Linked DNA regions of Schizosaccharomyces pombe. The protein of the gene in region 1 interacts with the protein of each later gene in a pairwise test. Each region holds a gene or a part of one and is shown on either strand. Other genes may lie near its edges. The genes, in order: dim1 and prp1.

Evidence for each region.
Region 2: the proteins of dim1 (region 1) and prp1 interact in a two-hybrid assay, tested with the Schizosaccharomyces pombe proteins (2 studies listed by BioGRID).

The regions. Positions count from the first base shown.
Region 1 is NC_003421.2:867,811-880,405, forward strand, and holds dim1 (U4/U6 x U5 tri-snRNP complex subunit Dim1), read right to left. Parts: upstream 10,862-12,595; 5' UTR 10,825-10,861; coding exon 10,790-10,824; intron 10,779-10,789; exon of another isoform or gene 10,740-10,778; coding exon 10,714-10,739; exon of another isoform or gene 10,633-10,713; coding exon 10,592-10,632; exon of another isoform or gene 10,509-10,591; coding exon 10,398-10,508; exon of another isoform or gene 10,345-10,397; coding exon 10,129-10,344; 3' UTR 9,994-10,128; downstream 1-9,993. Other genes in the region: inositol lipid-mediated signaling protein Sfk1, read left to right, coding at 186-1,172; U3 snoRNP-associated protein Utp13, read left to right, coding at 1,891-1,916, 1,954-4,261; SPOM_SPCC16A11.03C (uncharacterized protein), read right to left, coding at 4,538-5,831, 6,140-6,246; sorting nexin Snx12, read left to right, coding at 6,798-9,830; gpi10 (pig-B family GPI synthesis protein), read right to left, coding at 11,837-12,595. UniProt on the Schizosaccharomyces pombe protein: Plays a fundamental role as a protein essential for entry into mitosis (G2/M progression) as well as for chromosome segregation during mitosis. May play a role in mitotic spindle formation and/or function.
Region 2 is NC_003423.3:2,636,742-2,646,378, reverse strand, and holds prp1 (U4/U6 x U5 tri-snRNP complex subunit Prp1), read right to left. Parts: upstream 4,459-9,637; 5' UTR 4,390-4,458; coding exon 1,669-4,389; 3' UTR 1,482-1,668; downstream 1-1,481. Other genes in the region: ofd1 (2-oxoglutarate and Fe(2+) dioxygenase domain-containing protein 1), read left to right, coding at 1-1,333; ubiquitin hydrolase Ubp14, read left to right, coding at 6,370-6,465, 6,535-8,766. UniProt on the Schizosaccharomyces pombe protein: Involved in pre-mRNA splicing. Interacts with prp6 and prp13. May also be involved in the regulation of the G0-G1/G2 transition. Required for pre-spliceosome formation, which is the first step of pre-mRNA splicing. This protein is associated with snRNP U5.

The DNA.
Region 1 (12,595 bases):
TTTCTTTTCTTTTATATCAAATCACCATATTGATTAAATAATTTCTTTATTTTACTTTTTTTTTTATATTTTTTAAAATATATTCATTGACTGAATATCATTGATTTCTAAAGATTTCCTATTTATTATTTTTATTATTTGATACTTTATCTTTGCGTTAAAAACCAGATCTTTTGGACCCTAAGATGGATAACGATTATACTACTTCTACTACCACTTCCAGAAGACCCAGATTCTGGGGGTTCTTCTTCATACTTTTCCCGCTCGTCAGCTTTTTAATGTGGACAATTGGACTGATTGTCTTGTTGGGTCTGTGGAGCACCCAGGATAAATGGCATACTCCCAGTGAACCTGATCCCGTATATCTTAGTGATATGGGTGCTTACACCAAGGGATTTTTCATACCCATGTGTGTTATCACGGGTGTGTTTTACTTTTTGACGTTTATAATGATTCGTCTTGCTCGACAATGGGGCTGGATATACCCAACGGGTAGAAAAGTTGAAACGTATTTAGGATGGTTTGCGGCACTAACAGGTGCTGCTGCTGCCTCATGTCTGATTTCCCTATCCATTCGTGATGATGTGCACCACGATAATGTTCATTGGAAATTTACAGCAGCGTTTGTTGTCTTGGCATTTGTTTCCGCCGCTAGCAACATTTTTGAATGGCTATCAGCCACTCGCTACTATCCACAGAGCAGCCTTTTAAGGGTTTCATTTATATTCAAGTTTGTCATTATTGTCGTAGGTATCATTTGCGCCATTGCATTCGGTGGTCTTCATCACAATTACCGTGGTCGTTCAGCACGCTTTGAATGGGTTGTGTGTTTTTTATGGTCCATTTACATTTGCTTATTATGTCTTGACCTTGCACCCGCTTTATTTTACGATTCATTAGCCAGTGCCCCCGATCTCGAAAAGGGTGCGTATGCTACATCGGTTCCCGAATCCTATGTGGCTCCCATGGAGCCTCCTGCTGCTGTATTACCGGATGGGGAGGAACGCTATGCTACTCCAGACTTGGTCCCTGATACCACTGCTCAGTATCCGTATGCCAGTGCCACTGAACCCGGTGTGTCAAATATTCCTGAAACCAGACCTGAGCGACCAGTCGTTTACAACATGGACGTATCACAAACGACAACGACTACGAGACCTGTTTTGGCATAGTTACCGGTCCACCTGGCTTGATGAACCTAACAATGGGAAACCCGAAGTATATATATTTTCGAGTTTTATGTACATATACGAACATTTACCCGCCATATATTATAATTTCCGCTAATGTATATTTCATTTGTTTAACGTTATCTAAAAATTTATAATTAAGTTAATCGGATTTGAAGAATTCTGCTTTGGTTGTGTCCATCACACATCCCTTTGGGACCATCCTCAATAAAGCTACGAAAAAAGTGTTCCGTCCTTAAAAAAATTTACTTCTTTCCATTAAAACGAAAAAAGCCTATTTCGTTTCTTTCAATGTTTTCCTTTTAGGAAGGCAAGTATCTGTTTTTCACATATTTTTTTTGCTTCTTTTCTTTGTTGGTTTCTCCAAGATTTAGTCCCCAATTGGAAGTTACGTTAATCAGTTTATAGTCCTTCTTCCTTATTAGAACTAAATAGTTTACAAAATAATTCGCAATGAATCTCCGGGGGTTTTTTCTTTAACTTACCTACTCTTTTACCAACGTAAGTAAAAATTGGTGTAGCAGTTTTAGCATTCTTGTTTTCTATTATGTTATTCCGTTTACTAGCTTGCGAGGAGAAGGAGTATAGTGAGAAATATAAAAGTACGGTAAAAATATATAGCAAAGAACGGTAAATTTGTAGTTGGAACAATTATTTACTTTTTGACTGTAAAAAATGATGCTCTTAACCAAAATCATTCATGGCGCCAATTGGGGAGAAAAAGCGGTATGTAAAAGATTGAAACACATGAACTAATAATTAGCTTTGAGTTAGAAAAAAGCATTGAGCCTATTTACACGGGAGGTCCTGTTGCATTCGACTCTAATGAGAAGATTCTTGTTACTGCTTTAACTGATCGTATAATTGGAACCCGTAGTGAGACTGGAGAGCGTCTTTTTTCTATAAAAAAGGATGAGGACGATTACGTTACAGCCTTGGCGATAACTAGCGATTCAAAAAAACTTATTGCGGCTTTTCGGTCGAGACTACTTACTATTTATGAGATTCCTTCCGGACGGCGTATAAAATCGATGAAAGCTCATGAAACTCCGGTAATTACGATGACAATAGATCCCACTAATACATTGTTAGCTACGGGAGGTGCTGAGGGATTAGTAAAAGTATGGGACATTGCTGGAGCATATGTAACTCATAGTTTTCGGGGTCATGGCGGTGTCATTAGTGCATTATGCTTTGGCAAGCATCAAAATACTTGGGTTTTGGCTTCTGGTGCCGATGATTCTCGAGTCAGATTGTGGGATTTAAACTCTAGTCGATCCATGGCTGTTTTCGAAGGTCATAGCAGTGTTATTCGTGGATTGACATTTGAACCAACTGGTTCATTTCTTCTCAGTGGATCTAGAGATAAAACGGTTCAGGTTTGGAATATTAAGAAGCGTTCTGCAGTCAGAACGATTCCTGTTTTCCATAGCGTCGAGGCCATAGGTTGGGTCAATGGACAGCCTGAAGAAAAAATTTTGTATACAGCTGGTGAAGGTAATCTTATTTTAGCATGGGATTGGAAATCTGGTTCCCGACTTGATCCAGGTGTTGATACTACTCATTCAGAAACGAATGCAATTATACAAGTCGTACCATTTTCTGAAAACACACTTTTGTCTGTACATTCCGATTTAAGTCTCTTGTTGCGTAAGAGAGTTCCTGGCGAAGGCTTTATTACCATTAAAAAACTCAACGGATCTTTTGATGAAGTCATCGATTGTGCTTGGATTGGAGACGATCATTTGGCTGTTTGCAGTAATACCGAGTTTATAGATGTTATTTCCACAGACGGTACACAAGTCTTTGGGGTGCTTGAGGGTCATACTGATATAGTCCTTACTTTGGATTCATCTGAAGATGGTGTTTGGTTGGCAACTGGTGCTAAAGATAATACTGTGCGTCTTTGGAATTTAAACATTGAAGATAATGTTTATAAATGTATTCATGTATTCACTGGTCATACGGCTAGTGTCACGGCTGTCGCTCTGGGACCTTTGGATGTTAATGGTTATCCCACTTTCCTGGCATCTTCCTCTCAAGATAGAACACTTAAACGGTTTAATTTAGGTTCTCAGCTAAATAAGTCCGATTTTTCAAACAGAGCTGTGTGGACTATTAAAGCTCATGATCGTGATGTTAATGCTATTCAAGTTTCAAAGGATGGACGAATTATTGCTTCGGCTAGTCAAGATAAGACTATTAAGCTTTGGGATTCATCTACGGGTGAAGTGGTTGGTGTTCTGCGCGGACATCGTCGGGGTGTGTGGGCCTGTTCATTTAACCCATTTAGTCGTCAACTCGCTAGTGGTAGTGGTGATCGTACAATTCGTATTTGGAATGTCGATACTCAACAGTGTGTGCAAACTTTAGAAGGTCATACAGGTGCAATACTGAAACTGATCTACATTTCTCAAGGAACCCAAGTCGTAAGTGCTGCTGCCGACGGTTTGGTCAAAGTGTGGTCGTTGAGCTCTGGTGAATGTGTTGCTACGCTCGACAATCATGAAGACCGTGTGTGGGCTTTAGCTTCAAGGTTCGACGGGAGTTTGTTGGTTTCTGGAGGTGCAGATGCAGTAGTTAGCGTTTGGAAAGATGTAACTGAAGAATACATTGCCAAACAAGCTGAGGAATTAGAGCGTCGTGTTGAGGCTGAACAGCTCTTATCAAATTTTGAGCAAACAGAAGACTGGCAACAGGCTATTGCTTTAGCTTTGTCATTAGACCGTCCTCATGGACTTTTGCGACTGTTTGAACGAGTTATGACAGCTCCACATCAACCAAATAGCATTACTGGGAATAAAGATGTGGATAATGTTTTGGTTCAGCTTCCGGATCATCAATTAATAATCTTGTTTCAGCGCATTCGTGATTGGAATACTAATAGTAAAACAAGCATGGTTGCTCAAAGATTGCTACGTCTTTTATTACATTCATACTCCCCTGAACACCTTCTCAAATTATCTGGTATTAAAGATATTTTAGATTCTATGATACCGTATACTGATCGTCATCTTGCAAGAGTCAACGATCTCATTGAGGATTCCTATATAGTGGATTATGTTATTTAAAAAAATCTCTTCCTAATTCCCAATTCTGGAATGAAGACTCTTAATTTAAAAATGACCTGTTAAATTTGGGTTTTTTTTACTTGGTTAAAATAATGGATATTTGGTTGTGTATAATTTACTGGATCACTTAATAAAATGTTAGAATCCTTTGAATAATAATTTGTTTAGTGGGTAACTGAAAGAATGATATTTATCCTCATATGTATTTTTTTTTTGTGGAAAAATGAATTACGAGTGATGGAGAAAAGCCGATTTGCAAAAAAAGATGTAATAACGTCAGATTCCTTCAAAGTTGAGAAAGCCGGACATTAAAAGAATCCTATAATACTTCTTCTTAGTAATTTCGTTGGTCCAATTCCATGCACTAGTGAGCCGACCATCAATACAACTTCCACCATCAGATCCCTGACCATTAAAACCATGACGAAAAAAGTCTAACAAAATTGTTTTTTGAAGTCCATTGACGCTTCCATATTCGTTTTCGATATACTGAACCAAGTATGGATCACGTAAAAATTCTAGTTGCTGTAAAACTTTGACCAATGGCGCTAATATGTGAGGTACTTGGCGATATTTGTCAATAAACATCAGGGCATTAGGAACATCCCTATCACCTAAGTGTATTACAGAGCTTCCCATCCAAGGGATTTCTTGTTGCTTCTGAACGGATGATAGAATCCTGGTAACTGTAGATCGAACTAATGGACAAAGCTGAACACGATTTAAACCTTGGCCAGTGTCACTAATGAAGTACCTAGAATGTTTATCGAGTAAAGAAGCGTCGCTCTCTAACCATAAAAGAAACATTTGGTCCATCATACAGGACCAAAACACTAAACTCTGATCAACATAGAAAAATTGAGTTTTATGGTCGTGATTTAATTTGGCACCAGTCATATATCCAATCTTTAAACTACCATTTTTAGTGTCGTGTGGATTAAAAAATTTATGTAAATAGGCACGCATCTTTTCCACAGGATTTCGATTAGCTAAAAGGAAAGCTTCATGATCAGCTAAAGAAGCGAAGCAGTCCGTAAGCACTTTCTGTAATTTTTCATCTTTTCCTGGATTATACTTTTTCAAAAGAGTTTCTGAAGCTTCTTCCCGTTCTTTTAACAGTTCTGCTTTGGCATTGGCATTACTTTGAGGATCGCTCTGTTTTAAAAGATTGTTTAAAAGCTGTTTCTCTTCAAGCAGACCCAAAAGTTTGTGCTTTTCCAAAACATTGTATACAGTTTTTATGGGTGATACGAAATCAAAGCCAAGTTGACTACGAACATCTGGAATTAAACTGTCTTGGCACATATACATAACAGCACCATATGTTGCACGCATTTTCTCGGGATTCATAATTTTGTATCTCCTTCCAATTTCAAAAACGGTTTGAAAAAACCTAGCATTTGATTTGTGGTCTCTTCCAATTAGTAAATCACGTCCTGCTTTAATATCCATTGCAGTGACAAGTCCCATCACTATACTGCACATTTCGTTCAAGTATTTTACCATCAGTTTGGTCCTGGTGGTATAAGAGATAATGTCGACATGGCCCGTATAATCAATTACTTCAAGTCTATAATTTCATTGTTAGTTTTGGTCGATCCACCAAAAACAGATACGATCGTATAATTTTATGTCCCGAGAAACGGGAAAGTGTTCAATAATAATTAAATAATGTAACAGTTCATATACAAGAGAAATAATTTATGCGAACAGTTCTTGTAAAAGTTTCACATAATCGCGCACAATCAAACACTTTGGAAATAACTATTAGAAAAATATTTCTTTATTGGTAATATTTTAAAATAAGGAACCCTTGAACATTCCACATTTCAAACGGGACTCGGCCAACAGGCATTTCCATAAGATGGATTTACTTACGCTGCTTCTAACAAGCTCAAAATTTTTCGTTCCTCATCACTTAATCTTACAGGGACATATTTTGATTTTTCTACCCAACTCTGGTTAAACAATTGAGCTATTGACATTTTGGTGTTGGTCAAGTACTTTCCTAACTTTGCTAACCAATTCTAAACACTTGTTTTGATAAATTCTGACTACAACAGCTCCATTGTCAAGCTTTCATAAAGATTGAATATTTAAGGAAGTAAAGTATTTAATTCCTTGCTATAAATTACATCTTTGGACGATTGATTTCAGTTATTGTACGATAAAATATAAACCAAAGTTTTGAGGTGAAAAGTGGCTATTTCGACTAATTAGTCAACTTGGCTGTTTATTTGGGAGTATCTTGAATAATTGCTCAATTTTCAATAAGTCTCTCTTTTTTTCGTCATTCTGATTACAAAATCTCACGTTTAGGATTTTTTGTGCACTGATCTTTGCTTACCATTTTCCGGTAGTAGAAGATACTTAATTTACATTTTTCTAACAAGGAAGAATAATTATATAAAAAAATTTAAATTATCGTGCACTTTGTTTGCAAAAAAGAACGACTGCCTCAAAATTCTGAAATGTCATTTTTCCAACTAGAAAATCCATAGATAGAAGGACTTGGCTCTTACCATTATAGGACCAAATGTACCAGCAGCATATCTTTTACTTTATCACTGGAGGTATCTTCATCTTATGGATACTTGCTCATAGTTTCTTTGTCAAAATTATCTATTTATGGGCTTCTGGTTGTTTGTTGTGGTACTGTTTGGAGACGAGAACGTTTGAAAATAAAAATAATCTTGGAACATCTGAGCCATTTCTTGTTAACCCAGCTATATTCCAAAAACGAGCGCGTCAATTGGCACTTTCCAAACTTCTTCTTCGTCAGCCATTATATCCAGGAATACCTGAAATTTCTGAAGAGATAGAATCCATTATTTCACATTTTATGCAAAAATATATTAAGGTATGGTCTTATCAAATTATTCCCGAACCGACAATTTCAAACAGTATAGAATCCCATTTGCGAAAATGTCTTATGGTGTTATTAAGTCGAGTTGATGAAATTGATCTTGCTGATGTTTTGGTTAAAACAGTTCTACCACTGATTACAAAACATTTAAGATTATTCGTTGAAGCAGAACAGCTTGTTGTAGGTAATAAGGCAGTATCCTTTACTGACCATTCTGAACTGTCTCGTGAAGTTGCGGCGAAATATGATCATGGGAGATTGCATGAAGCAGTACTTCTTTCTGGAAATCCCATGGTAGCTCAGAAGAGATATTTACGAAATTGGACGACACAAGTTTTGTCTATTATTCTACCGAATTATTATGAAACCAGCCCTCTTGTACTTTCGCTCGTTACAGAGGTTATTATTAATACTACATTATTACCGCTAGTATCTTATATTTCAGATCCTGATTTTTTCAACTATTTAATTATTCAGGCTAGCGGTAGTATAATTCAGCGTCGGCGAAAGATTCGTCGTCTGAAACGTGCCATTCGCAAGCAATCTAATCACTTTCAGGTTGGAGCACGTCGTCTCCGATTAAAAGATAGTCAACACTCTTTTGAACAATATATTCATGAAATTAAAAAAATCTCTAATATTTCAGATGCCCGAAGATTACGTTCTGAACTAATGGTCCAAAGGCGTCAACTTGAACAGACCGAAGCATTTGATTTTGAATTTAAACAATATAGGGAGCGATTACAGATAGCTATAATTACTGCTGAGAAAAGGATTTCCTTACTTTCTGGAACTCCATTTCAGCATAAAGAAGCGGTGCTATTTGAACAAGTGCAATCACTACTTCAAATCCTATCTGACTCGGCGGCGGTTTCCTGTTTTCTCGAATTTATGGAGAGAAAGAACAGATCTCGCTATTTGCATTTTTGGCTTGTAGTTGAAGGCCTAAAAGAATCACAGGATGATCCATTGAATGCGCATATGATTGCGCCGTTTTCCGATATCGTTTCTGACCATACAGACTTTACAGCCATTGTCAAATCATACTTTGAAAGCGTCGATAACCCACTGGACATCCCAAAGCCTCTCACTAATACAATTAATAAATTCGTTAACCAAAGTAAAGATAACTTAAACCCTGATCTATGGGTAGAGGCTAGGAATGCAATGCTTATGGCTCAAGAGCATGTGTTCGATATCATGCAGAACAGTGATTATTCTGAATTCGTTAACAGCGAGATCTATTACAGGTTCCTAGCCCAAGATGTAGTATCTGATCATAAGTCTACCAATTCTTCTGCCACGTTCAGTAGATTAGAAGAGTTGGGCGAGAACATACCAGCGATATCAAAACAACCTTCATATCTTAGTATTTCTTCGTCGTCAAAATCCATCAATTCATCTCCTTCTCCCTCTATTCAGTTATCTGTCTCTTCGTCCATTTCTCGGGATAAAAACCTCTCTCCTTTGGATTTAGAATTGGATGATCCTACCTATAGTGATGAAGAAGAAGTTTTATTTGCTCCACCAGGTGATCTCCAACTTTCTGAAAGTATCGATGAATTAAACAATAACATCGAGGAGTTGAAAGCTCAATTAAACGCTATCAACACTCTTATAAAGAAGGCTGAGCTGGTTGCTGACCAAAAGCAATTGAAAAGCCTTACTAAAAACCATCAAGAGATTGAAAAAGCAATTCACCGCAAAGAACGTCAACGAGATCAGTATATGTCGCAAGAAGAAGACAGTAAACTCTTTAATCGCTCTCGGGTGTCTATTGATTCATTTAAAATTAGCAAAGAGGAGAACACCCCAGACTTTGCTGTTTACACCATACGCATTGAACGACTTGAAAATGGACATGTCCGTTCCGGATGGATGGTGGCTAGACGGTATCGAGAGTTTGCAGAGTTGCATAAGCAGCTAAAGCAAACATACCCTGGAGTCAGATCTTTAAAATTTCCTCAAAAATCGATCATCACCTCTTTAAACAAAAATGTTTTGGAATATCGAAGGGGTGCTTTAGAAGAATATCTTCAATCATTATTCAGAATGCCAGAGGTTTGTGACAGCAAAATGTTGAGGATGTTTTTGTCACAACAAAATATCACAGCACCACAAATGTTTAATCCTAAAGAAGTTGGCAAAAAATGGAAGCAGCTTTTAGAAGTCTTAGGGTTTGAAGTTAATAATTCTTTCAACGCATCCAACGTTAACACTAACTCGTCATTCTCAGGTCCCATCTCGGAATTTTTAGTCGAATTGTTTTCTCCAAATGACGATGCAAAGCAGCAATGGTTACCGAAAAAAACTTATATATCGATATTGGAACAACTTTTTGGCGGAGCTTTGGAAAAGCGTATACGACTACAACTGTTTCAGTTGTTTACGCCTGAGAAGATTTATAGGAAGTTACGCGAGTTTAGACGAGGACTTGAAGGTAAATCTAATCATGATCACTCCAAAGACCGCCGTCATTCACGGGCGCGAAAGCCAGCTTATGCTGATAGGAATCAATTGAAAGCAGAAGCAGGGATTTTGCTTGCTTCCATGTTTCCCGGCTATACACCTGATATTGCTGTGAAAAGAATATTTCGTATTCTCCAAAACCAATCTCTAAACGCTCATGTTATATACACCCTTCTTGACGAGATTTTGCTGGCTTTAAAGAAACACGCTAGATCAACTAATAAGGCAACTTGAGTGTCACTTTTTTACCTCTCTTGTTAAATCATAGCAAGAGTAATCATGTTCATGCTTTTCTTTAATCATATAATGTAATTTCTTCATAGGATTTGATAATACTTTATTACAATTCATCCACTAGATAATTTCAAATCCTGTATTGTTACTGACTTTAAAAGAAGGGTTATACCATTTGAAGTACAAATTATGCGTAAAAATTAAAGCAAAAAGACTTTTTCATTTTAGCCAAAAACTATCAAATTACTATGATTTTTCTATCCCCTCTCCATTTTCTTGCATAAGCAAATGGTGGCTTCTAGTAGCGATGTCGGGTAGAGTAATCTTTTGGAGAAATAACAAGACCTTTACCTTTTCTAGCACCACGAAAAATAGTTTCTATAATATCGATCATCTCTTGTTTATCTTCTAACGGCCAGTTGATTTTGTTATTGTTACCAGTACCTAAGTCAATCATCATGTGTTTGTTTCGATAAAAAAACATTATTGTAGTTCTGTCATAAAGCTCGTACATCTAGATGGTAATAAGGTTAGCAACATGACTTTCCAACTAAGACTTAGACTTACCTTGTTGAAGTCAGGAACTTCGTCAATGTCCACTAAATATATGACAGCCATGTTGACGACCTTTTCAGCAATTCTGTATAGGACTTCATCTTGTTTTATACATTCTTCATCCTATTCCGTTACGCGTTAGTAAATTAATCCGCCTACAATATTAAATAGACTTAATCCAAGTAGATATCGACATTAGAACATACATGATCTCTACCAAATCGAATGACAACCAAGCGCTCTTGTTCTATTTATAAAAAAAAAGGTTAATAAGCTGATTCGAAGTTGTGAAACGAGAAACATTCTACGTTTCTTAAAGTTCGCGTACCTGATAAAATTGCTTGATCAACGTGCCTATAAACATAAGTTAGAGAAGAATAAATCCATCTATCACAAAAACTTACCATCCAGAATGTAAATGAGGTAAAAAATAACTCATTATATCAACTGAAGCTGCTGAATTGCAATATTTTGGTAATTTCTAGCAGACGAGAATAGTGTAGATATGTAAGTCACACAATATACACTTTGCGCGTTAGGATGTAGCAATGCTTTAACTCTACGTAAAAAAGCGTATAATAGTGTAAATGCTATTCAGTAAATAAATTTAGTGAAGTTATGAGATTCTTGACACAAGTGGGATTGCTATTACTTTCGTACATTACATGCTTAGTTGAATCGTTGATGTGTTTACTACAATTATATATATTCATACTTCATCTAATAAAACAATGAAATTCAGAATTTTTTACAATTCTAGAAACCGACCGTTTAAGCAGTTTACTGTGTTTAAAAATTAAAGTATCCGTAATATTCCAAATATTTTGTGAAATACTATTATAAAAAATTTAATTTAGAATCGTAGCTAGGCCGTATAAAATTATTTTTTCAAGTCCCAATCGCAACATAGACGAATGACCTTTGCGTTTTTCTCGACTCCATAGCATAAAATTACAATTGCAAATTCTTTAAGTGACTTGGGTGTTCGCGTTGTAAGCTAACTTTTCTTTTTCAGATTTGTTTGGAGAGTGCAGGATATGCTATAAATTTGTATTTAAGAAAATTTCTGAAAGGTTAAAGTCGCCAAAGGTTGAAAATTTTAAAATGATGTTGATTCATGATAATGGCTTCGGGGAAGATAAGTGTTCCACCCATGTCTTAAGTTTTAATAGTAAATGGCTTAGGATTACTTTATTCGTCTACAAATTGTTGCTTCCTCTTGCTCTGTGAAGACTTGATATGGCCCCCTCTATAATCCACGAACCATAATAGAAATGCAAATCGTTTATAATGGGGAGCTAGAAATCAAGCTGGCGTTTTAGGGATAAACCAAATATTGTCCAAAGCAAGTAATAGTCATCAGTGGTTTCATTTAAAATACATCAATAGTTGTTAAAATGCAGATAATTATGCTGACCTGTGAAATTTTTGGGGTATGAAGAATCATGTAATTAGAGTTTCTTATACACTAACAGAGCTCCAGCTCTCTCTCGACTTTCAGGAATCAAGGAGTTATAATACCTCTGTACTTCTTCATACTTCAACCCTCGGGAGTCAAGATAGCTGTATAAGCTATAAAACCGCTCTTCAAAGAAAATCAGATAATCCGGCCATTCTTTAATTTTATCTAGAAAAGTAGGCATATTCTCGTAAAAACGATCCGTCTCATCAAAGGGCTTTTCGAACGGTTCACATGTCAAGAACTTCCATCCATTTTCAGCAAAAGGTGAATGGATATGCGACTGCCATGGTGTAGTGTGACACGGAGCAAGTATTAGACCAGTTTGGTTTTTTTCAGCAAGTGAATGTATTAATGGCATAACTTCCATGACTCCAAATTGATGAAATCGGCATAAAAATGTAATTACCAGAGCATGTCCCAATCCAATAAGGAAGAAAAACCGTGCTGCACGCTTCCAAGAGGAAAATGATGAAAAAAATTTTCCAGCTAAAGTAAGTAAAATCGGTGAAATTGGGTATACAAACCGAAGTTCTTTATGTCCTATCAGTGAATAGGGAAAGAAAACACAAAGAATGGTTCCCGCTGTTTGAAGGTCCATTGTGAGTAATACGAATGGAAGAAATCCTCCGCATATTAATGGGAGGGCTTGAGAAAGGTAATAGTGCCATGCGTTCAATCCATACAAAGAGGAAAGGCCTGAAGTAACATTAAATTGAAAGAACGAAATGATGGGAAAGACAAAACGACC
Region 2 (9,637 bases), on another chromosome or scaffold:
TGTTTGGCAAACTGGTGATCTAGCAAACTTGGATGGATTAGACAAGAAAGAGCAAAACATGCTTAAGTATTTGCGTCAAGTTCGTGATGCTCTTTACTCTGAGGAATTTCGCTCTCACGTTCAAAAGATTACCGGCTGTGGCCCTTTATCGGCTAGCAAAAAAGATTTGTCTGTTAATGTTTACTCAAAAGGATGCCATTTGATGAATCATGACGATGTTATTGGTACCAGGTGCATTTCCTATATCTTATACTTGGTAGAACCTGACGAAGGTTGGAAACCCGAATATGGAGGTGCACTCCGGTTGTTTCCTACATTACAACCATCCTTTCCTGCTGCTGATTTTTGTCACTCCATTCCTCCTCAATGGAATCAACTCTCTTTCTTCCGAGTTAAGCCCGGACATTCATTCCATGATGTTGAAGAAGTTTATGTAGATAAACCTCGAATGGCTATTTCCGGCTGGTTTCATTACCCTCAGCCTGGCGAACCTGGTTATGACGCTAATTACTGCGACAATACCGTTTCTACTTTGCAGTCTTTAACAATGAAACAAATGGACTTAGAACTTCCCCGGTTTTCATACTACCCAGTTGTTAAGCCAGAACCTTTATCCAAACAGGATACTGATATTTTAAGCAATTATATTAATCCACTTTACCTGACACCTGATGGCATTGAAAAACTATCAAAACGCTTTTTTCAAGATTCTGTTATTGTTTTAGTAGAGTTTTTAAATCAGGAATTTGCAAACACTCTCCTTAAGCGAATCATCGATGCTGAAAGGCAGCCCACTCCTATGCATTCTTCCGAAGTGTCATTCCCTTGGAAAACTGCCATTCCTCCTCATAAGCACAGGTACCTATATTTAGATCATGAAGAGTTTGGCCCTGATATTATTTTGCCCATGGATTTGCAGCGCCTTCCTGCGTTTCAGCGTTGGATCCAACTTGTCAGTGGCTTACCCCTTCGTTCCTTTCATCAAGTTGGTCGACGATTCCGCCCTGGTTCCGATTTTACGCTTGCTACTACGAATGACACAGCTTTACTAGAAGCTACTCTTTGCTTATCTCCGGGGACAGGCATTGCGAATACTGACAATGGTGCATATGATATTTATATGATTGGCGATGAAGATCCTGATGTAGATGCTGCTGTGTATAGGGGTGATCAGCAAGATGACAGTATTTTGCTTTCTTTGCCAGCCGCTTGGAATGTTTTTTCTTTGGTTTATAGAGATGAAGGTGTCCTTCAATTTGTCAAATATGTGTCGCGTCAAGCCGAATCTAGTCGCTGGGATATATATTCACAATGGAATCCCGTTGCTGAGTAAAGGCAACATATACTTAAAAGGGGTTACTTAATTTTTTTTTCTCTAATTTTTTGTCTTATTTTTGAAAGTTTTTCCCTTGTGTTTTTTAAAACCCACTTTCGTGTTGATAGTGTGTATTACATAAAAAGTTTTGGTTTACACTTTTACTGCTTTCTTAACTGGTATTCTTGTTGATTTAAAGTAAGTGTTCAATCGAACCTGTTTAAAAATCGTTCTTTTTTATTAAAAAGTCCGTAAATTTACAAATATCTAAAGTAAATTCGAATACCAATTTAAACATTAATTTTAAGATAAATAATAGATCCAATATGTTACAGTCATCATTTTTGTCGTAATCATAACACATTTATGGCAAGATGTAATAGTTCCTGCGGAGTTTTCCGAGAATTTTTGATATCTTTAGTAATACTGGGCCAAAAATAACCATGATGAGGATCAGCGGTTTCAAAACTTGTAAGCACTTCTTTCTGTTGGTCTTCGTTCCCAGCCTCTAAGCTATACTTATAAAACCAACACCACACATCTCCGTTATCTTGGTCAGCCTTAACAGCTTTTAAAAACCAACTACGCGCCTTATCTGCTTTTTTTTCCAGCCACAGCATCCTGGCGATGGTGCAAAGTAAATGTGCATTGCCTTCACATTTCCTTAAAGCATCTGTAGCACGAGTTTTACGCTGTGCGCGAGGTTCAAGCCATATAGCCTCCGTCCACAGCAAACCCGAAGATGGGCATTCCTGCAAGGCCTTAGCAAGGGCTGCACGAACTTGTGAAATATTCCCCGCCCGGAGTTCCATTTTTATAAGTTCAAGCCATAAAAATTCATTCTTAGGATTTTTAACCTTAGCCCTATCAAACACAACTCTCGCGCGTATAACGGACTGCTTTTCTTCAAGTTTGGCTAGCAAAAGCCACAAAGGTATGGAATAAGGACAAACTTTTGTGCCAGCCAAGTATGCGTCTCGAGCAAGCTCAATCTGCTCTTTATCTTCAAAAATTTGACCCTTCATCATGTACAACTTATCATAATGGGGATAAATTTTCAGTGCATTTTCCAAAAGTTGTAACGCCCGATCTTTTTCGTCCAAAATTCGTTCAAGCGAAATGGATTTAGTCCATATTCGTTCAGTTCCCGATTCGATACGAGCACGGGCAAGTAGCTTTCTGGCACGTTCATTTTCATTGTTCACAAATTCAATTCTGACAGCAGCAAGCCATATCTCTTCGCTATTAGAATTATATTCAAAAGCTCTCCCAAGAATATTCCGAGCACCAGCAATATCATTAACGTTTTTTCGCTCTTTAGCATAAAGCAACCATAAAATTTCGGCTTTAGGACATGATTCTACAGCTTTTTCTAAAATAGAACAAACACTTTCTGTTGTACCATACAGCTTTTCAAGTTCAACAGCTCTCAGCCAAAGTTTCTCACTTTTTGGATAGACTCTTAAAGAAAAAGCAAAAACAGCACGCGCACAATCTATACATTTACGAGCTATAAAAGATTGAGCATCATCTAACCAGGTGTCGAATTGATCTTCTTCATCCAATCCAACACCGAGGCACGTATTAATTATAGCTTGTGCAGTAATCACTGCCCCTTCAGTTTCGCATTTTTCAGCCTCGGAAAGCCACTGATCGCGTTGTAACATACCACCAGTAGCCTGTAACTCACTTACACCACGAGCCATTATTTTTTCCACCCGTGATACATTACCTTGCTGTTCTTCCAAACGAGCAGCAGCAATCCAAACCTCATGGGAAGTACGGATGGTTTGTCTGGCTTTATTGAGCACCTTTTTAGCATTCTCATAAGTTTCAAGTCGAGCAAGAGCTAACCATAAATCAATGGACATGGGTATTAATTCAACGGCACGAGCTAATAGTATCCTTGCATTATCCACTTCTTCTTCTAAATTTACAGCTTCTTTCCATAAGCTTACAGAAGTCGGGTTAAATTCTAAAGCTTTTTTTATAATCCTTTTTTTGTGCTGAGCTTGATTTTCAAGTTTTTCGGCTTCAAGCCATAACGTCACTGACTTTGGTAATTTTTTAACGGCATTTGCAATAATAACTTTTGCTTCTGCAGCCGGGTGTAGTCGTATTGCTTCTAGCCAAACATCCTCAGAGCGAGAACAATTTTCGCAACCTTTTAAAATTAAAGATTGTGCTTGAGATAATTTATTCGCGACCTCTTCAAGCCGCGCAGCAGCTACCCAGCCAGAGGCGTGCTTTGGATTCGTTTCAATAACACTTTGCAACAATTTTCTAGCTTTTCTTATATCACCCAGGTCATTGGCATTTTTTGGAACCATACTATTCAGACTAGTTAAATACCCCTTCGGATCTATAGTCGATGGTGAAGTCAAATTCGACGAAGCTTGTGCTAACTTGATACCTAAAACTTTGTCACGAGCAGCTCCAATTTCAACAAAATTTGTTTTTGTCCCATTCATATCTGGAGTTTCTGTTCCTGCTTGAGTATCCACTGCAAAATTAGAGATAGCTTGATTTTCATTGCGAGCACTTGCAAGAACAAAATCACTTGTTGCATAAAATCTTTCACGTCTCGGCTGTTTAGTCCTTTTTTTACGAGTTAGATCGCCGGGTTCTGGGATATTATTCCAGTCTTCATCTGTCAAAGTGGATAACCCACGTTTTAAGTCCGCAAATTGTGAAGAAACCTTGGGGTTTTCTTTTTCATATTTTTCTTTCTGTAGCTGTTCTTGTTTTTCACGTTGGGATTTTCTTCTTTTACTTAAATGTTCCTCTACAGATTGATATATTTTATCAGCTTCTTCGTCCTCATGATCATATGGAGCAGTAGCAAACAGCGCTACTTCATTGTCAGGATCCTGATAACGAGGATCGATATCTTCTTCTTCCTCTATTTCTGATTTCCTTTGTTCAATTGCAGCCTTTATAGATTCTTGGGATGGCAATTCTTGAGCAGGCCCAAGATCTGAACGCGTTGTAAATCCTGTTGCACCACGTCCTAAACCTGCTACATAGTTAGGAGGTGGCTGCATATTCAGAAAATCTGGATAAAAGTTTGCCATTCTAATTATCTGCAATTAAATGCAATAAGCCGAGCCTTTCGGCTTTATAAATATCTGGTAGTGGCTTTCAAATTTTAAAAGTAGGCAATACGAAGAAGAGAAATTAACTCCTAGCAGCTTTACTACAACAAAGTTAAAAAGAGCCATTAGGTAAAAGTAAATTTAGAAAAACTTAAGATAGAATATTTCTTAAACAAAATAAATTTCCTACTGTATGTAATGATTTTACAATCAAACGATATATAAATAAGCATTGTGATTGACTTGTTATACACTGAACCGCTAACACACGAGTATTTATGATTTAGCATTTGATAGCCAAATAAATTTATTAGATTTTTTGCAACAATTTTGAAAAAATGCATGAACAGTGTTTTCTTCCTTTCTTTTATTTTCCTACTTTTCTTTGAAGATGAATTTACACTTTGTAAATCAATGTCGTGTAAAGTATGCAGAACGGTTGAAATTACGAAAAATATTGTTCATCACAAGCTTTGTGAGTATTGGAATTAAACAAATCTTAATTGAATCCGAGTGATAACTGGACAGACGTTGCAGCAATATTTTTGCATGGCCACTACGTTTGTCTTTTAATGTCTCGGTATATTATACTGGTGTTTCAAATCAATGCTCATCGTATCTAGTATGAGTGTACCTGGACACATCAGTCAAATTTATTTTCGCTTGTAAATTGTCTTATTCTTTATCATAATGCCAAACCATTGTATTTAGAATTTTATTTGCAAAGTAATTTACCAAAACATATTTAACATCTTAAATAGACATGCTTGAGCTACGTTGATTAAGTGTTTTGATTATAACTGCAGGTTGTGCAAGGCTAATGTAATATCTTTTAGAAGTATATTCGTTGGATTGATAAGTTCTAAGAAATTTATACTGACTCCAGCCATAAGATGCAAGCAAGTCAGTTTCACAAAAAAGAATAAAAGATTCAGATATGTTAGATTAGAATCATCTGCAAAACACTGATATCAAAATATGATAATAATCGGCAATATATATGGCTCGTTTCATTTTTAACTTAGCTTTTCCAGGTTAATTTTGGGTATTAAAATTGTTCTATTTTATTCCATTTATAAATATAGGCATGAATTATGTATGTAGTGTGTAAATAAATTTGGTTTAAAGAAAATACGGCAGCTAATCTAGCTGTATCTTTTTCTCTTTTTTTTTTTTTTTTTTTAATATTATAAATTTCAGGAGTACCTGTGTAAATGATAATGATATATTCAGAATGATATTTTAATAAATACAGCGTATATTAACCATCTGTTTACAACTTGAGTGAGTATAGTAGAATCTGATGTGTGGATTTTCACTTATCATAAAAAAAATTCAAGAAATATTAATTAACTATTGTTATTTTAAGACTGTGTAAATAAGCTGTTTCTACAAATCTCCTGCTTGATAACATTATATATGCCAATGTTATTTACGCTGTCCACTGTTGCGTTAATACATGGATACAGCAATGAGTATTCTATTCGAATATTCAATATAAAAATGCAAGCTTACAGGAAATGATACAAATGTTGTTTTAATAAGCAATATCTAATCAGCAGTATAGGTAGACTCGACAGCATACATCTGCACTCGGAAGTCTAAATATGGTAATAGTTCATGCACAGTATTCTTGGTTTTTAATTTATTTACACAATAAAAAGAATAACCCCAGGATGTTCAATTATTGGACCTCTGGAGTTCTACAAACAAGGAAAATTGAGTTATAATGATATTACTCGTTGCAGTACTGTAACGTACTGCAATTTAGTTTATAATTAAACGAATTAATAAGAGTTTGGTATGCAGGATTAGGAGTATTAATTAAGCCCTCTGTAAAACATGATGGTATTTTAGTTGTAGCGATACGTTAATCAACAAGATGCACGTATATTATTAACTAATGTTAATATTCTGCCTACCTCATGTCCATCCATCCATAAACACCTATAGCAACCCATGTCGTGTCCGCACCTCACAGAGACAAACGTTGTAATCCCAGATAATTCTCAGGTAATATATCGTGAAGAATGCGTCCGTTGCTTTAATTCGCAGGTATGTTTTTTAAATAGCTTGTTTTAAAACATGTACTCAGAGGAGTTCAAATTCGTTAACAAACGTTAGGATGAAGAAGGTGGAATTGATTTATGCTTAACCTGTTTTCAATCTGGATGTGGGGAAACTGGGTTAAAACACTCACTTGTCCATTTTGAACAAACTTTGCACCCAATTGTGGTCACCATTGCCAGGCAACCTAAGCAAAAAATTAATGATGAGCCTCCCCAAAAAATTACGAAACTTGAGATCAGAGAAGATAGTGATGAAGATTTATATGATTATTTTTATGTCCCTAAGTGTTTGGTCTGTAATATAATATTAGATATACAGGATCCCTTACTTTCGTTATCATTAGAGGCAATGAAAAATGCTACCAAGGCATCAAACAAAAGTCAATTAACTGCATGGGAAAATGAATTAACTACTTGTGATCATATAATAAATTTACCAGAAAATGAAACTTACGTCACAAATTTGGACAATGCTACATGTTCAAAATGTGATCTTGCAGAAAATCTATGGATGTGTTTAACATGTGGCGCATTAAGCTGTGGAAGAAAACAGTACGGAGGAGGTGGTGGGAATGGGCACGCCCTTTCTCATTATGATGATACAGGACATCCGCTTGCAGTTAAACTCAAAAGCATTTCACCTGATGGTCAGGCTGATATATATTGTTATAGTTGCGATGAGGAAAGAATTGACCCAAATATAAAGACACATATGCTAAATTTCGGCATCGATATCGCCAAGTTGAACAAAACTGAAAAATCTTTGGCTGAACTACAATTAGAGCAAAATTTAAATTGGGATTTTGGTGCCTCCGAAGAGGATGACGCTTCAAAAAGATTGTTTGGACCAGGATTAACTGGTCTTAAAAATCTTGGTAATAGCTGTTATCTGGCCTCAACTATGCAGTCGTTGTTTTCTATTAAGGAATTTGCTATTCACGAATTAAACCTTTTCAACACTTATAATTCTGTTTGTCAAACCCCCACTACAGATTTGCAATGTCAACTTGGTAAACTAGCTGATGGTTTAGTAAGTGGGAAATTTTCTAAACCTAGCAAAATTGGTTTACTCAATAATCCTTCTTCATCGATTCTTCCTTACCAAGATGGTTTGAGGCCTTTTATGTTCAAAGATGTTGTGGGACAAGGGCATTCTGAATTTGGAACTTCTCAACAGCAAGATGCTTATGAGTTTTTATTGTATTTGCTGGGGAAAATACGGAAATCTAGTATTGCGAAAACTGACATTACTAAGATTTTTGACTTTGAAACGGAGCAAAAATTATCTTGTCTTTCCTGTAAACGCGTTCGCTATTCTTCTTTCTCTTCTCAGGGATTGACTTTGACAGTTCCGCGTGTTAAAATTGGTGAAATTGAGGGTGAGCAAATTTATGAAGAAGTCTCAATAGACCAATGTTTAGATGCAACTATACAACCAGACCAAATGGAGTATACTTGTGAAGCTTGTAAAAGTAAACTAGGAGCTACAACTACTACTGCCATGAAGTCGTTCCCGAAAGTCTTGATCCTACAAGCCAACCGGTTTGATTTACAGGGATATCAAGTTAAGAAATTAAGCATCCCTATAATAGTTAATGAAGACGGAATTTATAATTTCGATCGCTTAATGGCTAAGGACCACCCAAATGACGAAGATTATCTTCCTGAAAAGACAGAGACCATTGAATGGAACCAAAGTGCTATTGAACAGCTTCAAGCTATGGGATTTCCTTTAGTCAGATGCCAACGAGCATTACTCGCTACTGGAAATTCTGATACTGAAACTGCCATGAACTGGCTATTTGAACATATGGAGGACCCTGAAATTGACAAACCTATTGAAGTTTCTGAATTACTGCCCAAAGCAGACTCAAGTGTTTCAGAAGAAAATGTTCAATCATTATGTGAATTCGGCTTTACTGTTGCACAAGCACGAAAAGGATTGCTTGAATCTAACAATAATATTGAGCGCGCAGTTGATTGGATTTTAAATCATCCGGATGAAAGTTTTGAAGAACCACCACTTGAAGGATCAGATTCTTCAATAAAAAATGAAAATATGGGTAGTTGGGAATCGACAAACGTTCCAGTCAACTACAATTTAAAGGCCATAATAAGCCATAAGGGCTCAAGTGCGCATGCCGGTCATTATGTAGCATTTATACGCAAAGAGATAGATGGAAAGCAGCAATGGGTTTTGTTTAATGATGAAAAGGTGCTTCAAGTTGCCTCCTTGGAAGAAGCAAAAACTACCGGATATGTCTATCTTTTTGAAAGGCTAGATTGACATTAATTTATATCATTTTTTTTTTTTTAATAGCAATCATCGGAGCGTCTTATTGAATTTTGGGTTGAGCAGAATTTGGTAGCATACAACAACTAAATTTTTTTAACATTACATTATCAAAGAGACCCGGATTTAAGTCTTTCTTTACAAAATAGACCAACCATTCAGTTTGGCTTTAAAAACTCCTTTGACGCAAAAGTCGTTTTACAGTCATCACTCCCCGAATATTTGAAATAAATAAAAAATATCCTTAATAGCATTTTGAGTTACCTTCTGTGAACGAATTTCGTATTTTAAATTTTGAAAGAGTAGTTTTGATTGTAAGTATCCACGCACCATTCCAATTAAATGCTATATCGTCTCCACGGTCAAGAGTTTCAAAATATGTAAATTTGACCCTAAATACATAAGAGAGCTGACATTCATTTTATTTGAAAATATATCTGAAACCCAATTGTAAGCTACGCAGTTTGGTATCTGATTTAAGGATACGTAGAACTGCGGTGAGTTTTCCTTGTGATCTATTATATTACAATACACAGGTTGTATAAGTAGCAACTGAGTATAGGTATTGTATTAACTGGGTTATAATGTTACCTATCACTAATATAGCTCATAACTGAACTGAGGAACGAGGTTCAGCAGTAGCTCTATTTATAGTATTCAGATAATATTGATCTTAATAGATTATCATTAAGATCAATCTCCATATCGTATCATACATGGTACGATATATAATTAGAACATGTGACATATAGTGATACGCAACGTAGTGTAGTATTGCTGACACCAATGTAATTATAGCATATTTGCAATATTCAATATATTCTGTAATAACGCAGGTGTAAATTGGACTTGCCCTAAATAATTT